Linked DNA regions of Schizosaccharomyces pombe. Changing the gene in region 1 together with any one later gene gives a genetic interaction. Each region holds a gene or a part of one and is shown in the gene's direction. Other genes may lie near its edges.

Region 1 (5,759 bases):
ATGTACCTGTATATTTACACATAAACAGGAAATGCTAGTAGTTACACGTTTCGGATTTCTTTTATACTAAGGTAGATCTAATAATGGAGCTTCAATGATTAAGCAAGTAGCTCTATGCTTCCGAAGAGTCAGGACGGTGGTCTAATAATTAAGCTGTTGGTGAATTCTTATGTTTAGAATTAGGCATCTGAACTTTAATAAAAAGAATTAAGAAATAATATTTGGTTTAACTCCGATCAATTAAATCTTTGAAATTAGTTGGAGAATTATCGGTATAGTAAATTTTTTTGAAGTAATTATATTACCCTCACTAATTTATATTGAAAGAAACATACTAATTTTAAGTAGTATTTTTTTACCAATTGTTAAGATTGTTTATTCTTGGTTTAATTTAGCACTAAGTATAAAGTGCACCTTTCTAGTTACTCAACTTGACAATACCCACTACCTATACAAGATGAGTTTGAAAATACCTGGTTTGGCTGATATGCATGTTCATCTAAGGCAAGATAATATGTTAAAAGCTGTAGTTCCAACGGTCGCAGAGGGTGGAGTCTCTGTTGCGTATGTAATGGTATGTAATAAGTATTGTGCTATTCAAAAAATTTATTTGAAGGTTACAAAGGTTTAACTTTTTAACGCGTATAACAGCCTAATTTAATCCCCCCAATTACTACCGTTGATGCCTGTTTGCAATATAAAAAAGAAATTGAGCAGCTTGACTCCAAGACCACCTATTTAATGAGTCTTTATCTCTCACCGGAAACTACACCTGAGGTTATTTACGAAGCTGCAAAAAAGGGAATTCGAGGAGTTAAATCATATCCGAAAGGAGCTACTACCAATTCTGAAAGTGGTGTTGAAAGCTACGAACCCTTTTATCCTACCTTTGCTGCAATGCAAGAAACAGGTATGATTCTGAACATTCACGGAGAAGTTCCCCCCTCTAAGGATAACACCGTTTTTACGGCTGAGCCCAAGTTTCTTCCTACTTTACTAGACCTTCACCAAAGATTTCCAAAACTCAAGATTGTGCTTGAACATTGCACCACTGCCGACGCTGTTGAGGCAGTAAAAGCATGCGGTGAAAGTGTTGCGGGTACTATAACTGCCCATCATCTTTATCTCACACAAAAAGATTGGCAGGATGATCCTTATTGTTTCTGCAAGCCGGTAGCCAAAACCGAACGAGACCGACGTGCTCTTATTGAAGCTGCTACCAGTAAAAATCCCAAGTTTTTCTTTGGGAGTGATTCTGCACCTCATCCTAGGTCTTCTAAACTGAAGACGCCACCGGCAGCTGGTGTTTTTACCCAACCTTTCGCTGCTTCGTACTTAGCTGAAGTGTTTGATAAAGAGGGTCGTTTAGATGCTTTGAAGGATTTTGCATGTATTTTTGGTAGGAAATTTTATTGTATTCCTTTAGACTTCAAAGAGTCTAATATCGTCTTAAAAAAGGAGTCGTTTCGCGTACCTGAAAGTGTTGCCAATGATTTGGTTCCTTTTCATCCAAACGAAGTTCTTCAATGGCACTGTTCATGGGAGTAATTCAGTACATGTTGATTATGTGTTTTTTTTTCTATCTATTTTTTTGAACTTGTCGGCTTTTATGTTTTGGATTTACGAATTTTTAAATAACATTTGAAGTTAATTGGGTTAATCATTATGCGTCGGCGAATGCAAACATTGCGTGTCATCTGGCAAGAGTCTTTTCAGAATTCCAAAATTTTCGTAAAGTTTTTCATCCAGATAGAGAACTGGTGAATGAGCAGAAACTTGTTTTCATTATCTCAAATTCGGATTATTCATTGAAGTTTACTAAAATACTTTATAGTTATTTATAATTAATATAGAAAAAGAAAATTATACGTATAAGAACCTACGTACATGACTGTAAAGACAACAGTTACTTCTTGAAGTTGCATCTTGACTACTAGATATCCTAGCTCCTTAATCATGATTAATTAAACTTACAGTATCCCGTCGATGAAATTATCATCGCCATCTTGATCCATTAATTAATTATTATCTAACCTTCTTAATCATTTCAATAGACACTCTGAAGTATGGTTGATAGTTACTCAGATTTCATTTATACAATATTAGGAAAAAGTGTGGACCGATGAATGCATAAAATCGTTAGACAAGGTTTGATTAACACCATCTCTTTTAATTTGATTTTATATTTTATTTCATTATCTTATATTTTGTAACTTGGGTTTCGCCGGCCTTCAGCCTCAAGACTGCCGACTGAGGGTCGAACTTCACCCAGCAAGAACCAACTACACCAAAAAAAAATGTCGGAGACTAGATTGTTTGTTGGCCGTATTCCTCCTCAAGGTTTGTAACTAAATAATGTAAATAGTATTTTAACAAAAATTTAGCGACTCGCGAGGATATGATGGATTTTTTTAAAGGTTACGGTCAAATCCTTGATTGCAAGCTGATGAATGGATTTGGCTTTGTTGAGGTAAATAAAACCATTAGCCTTCTTTTTGTAATCCCTATGTGACTAACTTGATGTAGGTTGAAGACGCTCGCGATGCTCGTGATATCGTAAATGGTACGTTCATACCATCTTAAAACTTTTGCTAACAGTTTAGACTTTCGTATGCTTCAAAGGTTTAATATTCGACTTTATTTACTAATCTTATAAAAAAGAGGGCAAAGAGTTTATGGGCAGCCGGTAAGTCAATACATTATGAATTTAGATTAAAATATGCTAATGTTCGAAGTATTGTTGTAGAACCTGCTCGCGGTGAAAGAAGAAGAAGAGAGAACTTTAGAGAAAGTGCTGCTTCTAAGTACGTTGTTACGTTTCCATTAATATGTGATTAGTGGGCGATTTGGCATTGCACGCGATTGCTGGTTCTAACGATTTTGTTCACTTCACATGTGAATCAGCTCTGAGTAGTGACTATATACGGTGTTATCGCTTGCAAAATCGCATTGTCCTATAAAAATTACGGCAATATTTTTATACTAACGTATCAGATACCCCCGTCCCCGTCGCACCGGTTTCCGTTTGATTGTGGAAAATCTCTCAGAAGATGTCAGTTGGCAGGTAAGACAATTTTATACATTTAATGACCTTTGCGTCAATGCATGATTTTTTTCATATATCTATATTTCAGTGTTAACACTTTTCATAGGACCTGAAGGATGTAATGCGTAAAGCTGGTGAACCCACTTTCACAGATGCTCACCGTGAAAACCCTGGTGCTGGGTAAGTTTCTACTTTGATCATTTTTTCACCTAACTTTAATGCAGTGTTGTTGAATTTTCTACTGAAGAGGATATGAGAAACGCTTTGACGAGCCTTAATGGTGAAGTCATTAAAGGCCAAGCAGTTACTTTACGCGAAGACCCTGTAAGCATCTAATCTTTTTTAAAGATCCTTGCGTAAATTTTCTAACGATTAGCAGGATGCCGCTAATGAGCCCCTTCCCGAAGTACCCTCCCGCTTCCGTTCACGTTCTCCACCTGCTCGCCGTCGTTATCGTGATGATTATCGTAGAGGAGGCGATTACCGTCGTGACGCTTATCGTCCCGGCAGAGATGATGAACGTCGTTATGCTCCTCGTGGTGAATACAGGCGTAATAATCGTGATGAATACCGTCGTGGTGGTCGCGATGAGTATAGACGTAATTCCAGAAGTGATTATCGTCGTCCTCATGATGATGAGTATCGTCGTCCTAGAGGTGATGAATATCGCCCTGGACGAGACGAATACCGTCGTTCTCGTGATGATGGACGCCCTTCCCATGATGATGAGTATCGACGTGACGCTTATAGCCGTAGTCCTTCTCCTAGACGTGATAGAGAAGAGAATCGCTCCCCTGCCTATGAAGGTTCCAAATCCTATTCAGCTGCTCCTGAAGCATCAATGGAGTCATCTGCTCCCACTGAATCATATGACAAACCTGCTGCTTCGGAAGAACAACAGCCTTTGCAAAACCATTCTGATGTAGGTAACGGTAGCGCTGAAGGACAGGTCGCTGCTGAATGGTAAACATAGAAATTTTTCCTTTGGTAAACTATTTTTTAGTGTCTGCTTACTAGATTTTCCTGTCATATGTCTGTGGTCTTAATATCCTTTGTCTGTGATGTATTTGAGTATGAATTTATCTCTCTTTATTGGCGATTTCCTTTCTTACGATCAAGAATGAAAGGAATGTGTAATTTTTAGTGTAGTTCCGGATTTTTGCCGCGTATTTGTCATTCTTTATCATTTGGATGGATTTTGGTTGTTTTTTTTTGGTTGTTGTTCTTAATGAAGTGAACGCCCGAAGAAAAGTTAGTTGTTGGAGTATGGGTGTTTAAAGGGTATATAATTTCACATAGTTGTTTGATGAGAGTGACCACTTTAACTCTTGCCAGTCTTGATTTCCAACCCATTAATGCCCAGAAAAAAATAGGCTCGAAACTTTAGTAGGTGATAAATTTTGATATGGTTGTATACCTTTGGCGGTGTCTTAATATTTAGCTTAAATGAGCCAGAATTTTGAATTTGACCGCCCCATAAAATTACTTAGCGAAGTGAGCCTACGTATTAAATGTATCAATAAGGAAAACTGACATTTTCTATTAGCCTAAGAGAACAAAAGCATATGTACATATATGAATTTTGTACTTCATAATGAGCGCAAGCGGCAGTTCTAAAAATAAAGTCCTATGATCTTTTAAACAAAAAGTAGTTTTCATGAGGACAATAGATGCTGAAAAAGAATGAAAGATGTTTAAGAGTAAAAAAAAAAGGTAATAATAACTGAATGCGGTTTGCTTAATGAAATGAAAAAGGAGGCTAGTGTCGTTCGACCGATGCGTGAAGATTATAATGATGAAAATAATAATAATACTCCTGAGTCTCAAAATAAAATAGGAACTAAATTTGAGGTATAGGGGAGAAAAAGAAAAAAGTAAACGACAGAAGTGAAAGTGAAAACGAAATGAAACAACGGCAAAGAACAAATGCGAAGAAAAGCAAAAAAGTCTATCAGCTTTTTGTAAATGTAGGTCGCATAAACTGATAGGCTTTCCTATAAACTGAAACATGAATGTTTGCAATCGTTAGGATATTAGTAATTATGAAATGATGCAGCATTTTGTAGAACTCTTGTCATTTTCCGAATCCCGAACTGTTAGTGCTGCCCTAGTAGCAGCTTCAAATACATCGTCCACGCCGTCACCAGTCAATGAAGAACATTCCATATACTTTCTCGCACCAATCCGCTGAGCTACTAATTCAGCCTGATATCAAGAATTAGTATTCACGTGTTTGAATTATTAATATATACCTGTTGTGATTTTACAAAATTTTGATTTCGACGTCGCATTTCTTCAATAGCAACGGGATCTGACCTTAAGTCGGCTTTCATGCCCACTAAAATAAACGGAACATTTGGGCAAAGTGTATTAATTTCCTCAATCCACTATATAATGTTAATGACTGGAAAAAACAATTAATGAAACGAACCTTCGTAGAAACATTTTCAAGTGAATCAGGAGAGTCTATCGCAAACCCAACCAAAATAATGTGTGCTTTAGCGTAAGACATTGGTCTTAATCTCTGCATTGGGTTAACGACGTATTTCTCACTATTAATAACGAAACAAACCTCATATTCCTCTTGACCTCTAAAACAAGAATTAGTATGCAGGAATACATAACATATAGTTTTAACATCAGAAAAAAAAGTACTTACGCGGTATCCCACAATGCCAGTTGAACTGATTTTCCATCAACCTATTTTAGTTAG
Region 2 (4,964 bases), 2.9 Mb from region 1:
TAAAAAGCATGCAATCGTTAATGAAAGAACATTTCTATACAAAGGTGCTCCCGCATTCAGTATACGTTTCATTTCATTAGGGAACATGAAAAGCTTAGAACTTTTAAAGTGTAATCCATTCAGTATTTACACCAAGCTCATAAATATCCTGTTTAGGTTATCGGGGAGTCCAAGCTTTTCTTAAAAAGGTATCCGTCTCTTTTCTTGTAGTAAAATGAGGGTTTCAATTTATATTTTTATTTTTTTTACAATAAGAATTCTTCTCGTATCTTTTTATTTTTTAAGTAAAGTCCAAAATTCTCGATTTTTGGGTTGCCGTATGCTAAGGATCAATTTATAAGCTGTAGGTTACGGGAGCATCTGTTAAGCCACCGTAATTCTGCTACCACTTACGGGCAGAACTGCGCGAACATACAATCCTCAAATATCAAGTATTTATTAATTCTTTGTTGTCTTCCAAAGTTCTTTGGTGGAAATATTCCCAGTATCTTCAAAAAATTCGGTATTTAGTTGGGTACTTCTGGTTCAACCTACCAATTTATAATAATTTGCATCCCAACGAAAAGTTGGATTAATTGGCCGTCAAGGTTCTGAGGAAACAAAAGCAAAAGGTATTTTTAATCAAAAGTTTTCCCATTTGTTTGAACGTTTCTTTCTTTAGCGAAACTCCTGTATTGCATACTTTTGCTTTCAACGTTTTGCATATCTCTCTCATCTTCTTGATTATTTGATATAGACAACAAGAAATTTCTTGTATTTAGGCATAAAATTCAAAGAAATGTCAGGTGGACTTTCCCGAAGGAGGGTTGCTGCCGCAAGTTCGGACGAAGAACGTCCAGAGATGAGGAGCGTCTCTCATTCCAAAAGTCATCTTGAGGGATACGATGATGATCATAAAATCGCTTTTGATCCAAAGGATTTGGAACAAGGCGCGGAAAGGGAAAAGCAACCCAGGCTTACACTGATGGAGGAGGTATTGTTATTGGGTCTAAAAGACAAGCAAGGTTATCTTTCTTTTTGGAATGACAGCATTTCTTATTCTCTTCGGGGATGTATTCTAATGGAGCTCGCATTTCGTGGAAAGTTGCGTATGCAAAAAGACGTTAATCGTAAACGCTTTCCGTTAGCGGATCGTGTAGTGGAGTTGGTTGATGAAAAACTTACAGGTGAGGTTCTTTTAGACGAAGCTATTAAAATGATACATACTAGCGAACTCATGTCTGTAACCTCTTGGATTGATTTGATGAGTGGTGAAACGTGGAATGTGATGAAGATTGGATATCAATTAAGACAAGTACGCGAACGGTTGGCAAAGGGCCTTGTTGACAAAGGGATTTTAAGAAATGAGAAGAAGAATTTCTTACTTTTCGACATGCCAACTCATCCCATTGCCGATACCTCCATTAAAGATTCCATTAAAAAAAGAGTGGTCTCTGTTCTTACTTCACGAGTAATTGAAATTGATAATTCACCTTCTTTCCCAGAATATTTGTCTTTTCGTTGCCTTCGCACTGTTGCCCTTGCTTGTTCCTCATACGCTGCTAATGTTCTTGAAAACGCTCTTGACAATTTAAACTATGAAGATCGTGAAAAAGCATTTTCTCGCGTAGACGAGCTTCTCTGTGACTTTTCGCAATGGCCTTTTGATCTTCATGCTTCTTCGTCAGTTGGCGCTAACTTGCCTGAGCTAATTTCCGAAGAACTTTCCTCTGTGAAGGAAGAGCAACTACTTTTCATTGAGGTAGTCGCTGCTGTTCTTCAAGTTTTCACTCATTTAGATTCTTTACTTTGATAGCCAAGCATATCACTCGTTGGTGTTGTTTGAGTTATGTTATTTCCAACTCAGACTAATGAACAAACGTATACCGACTTCTATATCGCTAATGTCGGCTTAATTTGTTTGTTTTTAATTGGAGTATTATTTTAAAAGAAGTCAATTCAATCAAATTGTTCGTTGTTGTAAGAATAGTACTTTGAACAATCGGTGCTTCATTATCTAGTTGAATTTTCATTAAATTGGTGGTACCATTTCCACATATACTCTCTCCAGTTGAACACTTTATCTCGATATGGAGGCAATCCCATTTCGATATTGTCTGCTAAAAAAGATTTGTTCAGAATATCCCGGGTCAGCTTTCATTCTTTTCAGTTGCGGACATCGTTAGCTATTTTCTTCTCGTTTTAATGATTTACATACGTACATATAAGTCAGTCTTTCTTTTCACAAAGCTTTAGTTATTAAACTAACGAAAAATGACAATTGTGTAATTACTATACAGTTATCTTTTAAACCATTTTAAACTTGGGTTCTTCCACAAGCTTTACTTAAATGAACATATGATAAATTAATATAGCAGGTGTTTTCTTATGATCATTGCTATCAACTTTACTAAGACGAACATAAGCTGAAATACAGCGATTTTTAACCAAGTTCATATAAATCATCTATTCCTGCCATTAATGCCAACAACCCCATTAATTGTCTATTGCTGTAAGCGTAAAGTACTATGGAGACTGATCAGTCAAAATTAATCAGAAGCATTTAAATAATACACAATTTATAAGGGAATCTAAAGTACTCTTAAAACACCGGAAGGTGTAAGATTGACAAACAACGCTTGCTCACGTCTCGATAGCTCAGCTCAGGTATTGTATAAGGAAATATAAGGATGGTACTAAATATGTTTACGTAGTGCTATGTGCGCATTCAATTTATTACCGCGACGTATCGAGTGTCAAAGAACTACAGATAGTACTAGTACTTTTGCCATTCGCTTACAAAAAGCGCATATCCACATAAAACTAGCATTTTCAAATTCATCTGTAAAGTCAAATAATTCCAACCCAAAAGGACGGTTAAATTTTCCTTACTTTAATTTATTCTTTTTTTTTGAATTTGGTAAAGCAATTCTCGTACGTTCATTTCATTTTTTTTTCATAGTTTCCAACAATGTCTGAACGAAAGGTACTTAACAAGTATATCCCGCCCGATTATGATCCTTCCATTCGTCCTCCTAAGAAAAAGAAAAAGTTTCAAGGACCAAATGGTGGGAAATTGACTGTTCGTTTGATGACTCCATTTTCAATGCGCTGTCATACTTGTGGAGAGTATATATATAAAGGAAAAAAGTTTAACGCTAGGAAGGAGAAAACCGGCGAAAAATATTTTTCAATTGATATATTGAGGTTTTATATTCGCTGCACTAGGTGTGCTGCTGAAATAACATTTATAACCGATCCAAAACATGCAGATTATGCAGCAGAGAGTGGAGCTTCCAGGAATTATGAGCCGTGGCATGAAAAAAGATTACAAGAATATGAAGAAAATGAGTTAGCTGAACGCAATGACATTCCTGAGGAGGACGAAATGGAAAAATTAGAACAAAAAACATTAGACACTAAACGACAAATGCAAATTAGTGATGCACTCGACGAACTACGTGAAAAGAGCGCTCGAAGGTCTCGAGTTAACATTGATGATGCAATCGCTCTCTTAAAGGAAGATGCATATGGATCAATTGAAGAAGAGGAGTCCAAAAAGCGGAAATTTGAGGAAGAAGAAATTGATCGTGAAGCTAAATCGTTGTTTTCGTCTCAGGATGGTGAAATTATAAGAAGATTGAATGCAGAAACAACGGTTGAAAAAGAATTACCCAAACCTATAGATTTGGTTTCTGAGAAGCTGGCCACTTCCAATATACCGAATTTTCAGCCTCCAAAATATGCAAAAAGGAAAATGGAGAAGAAAAAGGTTTTGGTATAACGTCTATAAATGGCTAAATTTTTTAATTACTTGCATTTTTTATAGCTAAGCTATTAAAAATGTACATGTTCTTTTGTACCAGCGCAAGGTTTTTATTGTAATAATATTTAATGAGTTTTTGATGGATTTTCATAACGCGAGTTGATAGTCAATATCCTGTTCTAATTTTTATTATTCGATTAGTAAATGTAGTTTGTTATGTAGAATAATACCGTAGCATTTATAGAAAGGTTTTATTTTGTTTGTATCTATTCTTCAACTTTAAGTTTTTAACAGCACATGTTAATTGATTTTTTTTAAGGTTCCTTCTAATTTTCCGAGTATCTAATTGTAATTTATCAATTTACATTTACGGTTTGTCAAAAAGTAGTCTTAATCGTAGCTAAATTCAAGGCGGCTAACGTAAACAACGGTTTAGGAACTATGATAGGAACGTCTATTAATTTATTTTAAAAGAGTTTTTTCTTGCTTAATTAAAAACTACTTTTAGAAAAAAATATTAAAACTTATTCTCATCATGCCTGTGACAAAATATTGTTAGACTCATCTTACATAGTAACCAATATTTTGGAGAACACCAACTAAAAACGTATATCATAATAATTAACTCTTAAACAATAATTAAAAATTAAATTTTGGCAGTTTGAAGTACGAAAGATTTTTTAGTGTCTCAGATAGACACCTTGAATACCCTTTTTTTTCTATTTTTGTAAGATGCTTCGATCTTTACAATTTTACAGATTATCCAGCAAAAACTTGCTGTCATTTAAAACGTGCTATTCGTTTTACTCTACAAAAGCTTCCTCTCCTTTGCCGCAACCATCATTCAGGAGATTTTGGAAGAATACAGCTACCAAAATCCAAAATGGAGAAGTCTTGATTCAATTAGATGGACGAAATTTAAAATCACCTTCTGGGAAGATTGTTAAGGTACCTAAAGAAATGGAGTTACTAGCACACTTGATTGCCCTAGAATGGGATCGATTACCATCAACCTCTGTTCGACAACACAATCTCCCAATTACTTCCCTAGTTTCGAGAGCTATTGACATATCACAATTCAAAAAAGAAGAAAAGGAACTACTTTCTACTCAATTAATTCGTTTCCTTGACACCGACACAATTCTAATTTACTCCCCCGAAACAGAATATGAAGGGAAATTGTTGGAGGAGCAAAAGGAAAATTGGTGGCCACTGAAAG

Evidence for each region. Genes that interact genetically often act in the same process or in processes that back each other up.
Region 2: of srp2 (region 1) and cwf16, changing one suppresses a phenotype caused by changing the other (phenotypic suppression), as found in Schizosaccharomyces pombe (one study listed by BioGRID).

The regions. Positions count from the first base shown.
Region 1 is NC_003424.3:4,423,504-4,429,262, reverse strand, and holds srp2 (guard protein for 5'-capping of pre-mRNAs Srp2/Npl3), read left to right. Parts: upstream 1-2,270; 5' UTR 2,271-2,297; coding exon 2,298-2,340; exon of another isoform or gene 2,341-2,384; coding exon 2,385-2,470; exon of another isoform or gene 2,471-2,526; coding exon 2,527-2,563; exon of another isoform or gene 2,564-2,603; coding exon 2,604-2,609; exon of another isoform or gene 2,610-2,661; coding exon 2,662-2,686; exon of another isoform or gene 2,687-2,735; coding exon 2,736-2,804; exon of another isoform or gene 2,805-2,994; coding exon 2,995-3,064; exon of another isoform or gene 3,065-3,152; coding exon 3,153-3,226; exon of another isoform or gene 3,227-3,270; coding exon 3,271-3,370; exon of another isoform or gene 3,371-3,425; coding exon 3,426-4,013; 3' UTR 4,014-4,615; downstream 4,616-5,759. Other genes in the region: dihydroorotase Ura2, read left to right, coding at 458-574, 652-1,548; Rho family GTPase Rho2, read right to left, coding at 5,087-5,251, 5,299-5,433, 5,478-5,570, 5,619-5,637, 5,706-5,746. UniProt on the Schizosaccharomyces pombe protein: Has a role in pre-mRNA splicing where it is involved in spliceosome assembly.
Region 2 is NC_003424.3:1,487,569-1,492,532, reverse strand, and holds cwf16 (splicing factor), read left to right. Parts: upstream 1-2,777; 5' UTR 2,778-2,950; coding exon 2,951-3,763; 3' UTR 3,764-3,923; downstream 3,924-4,964. Other genes in the region: gpp74 (golgi phosphoprotein 3), read left to right, coding at 779-1,792; F1-ATPase chaperone Atp12, read left to right, coding at 4,478-4,964.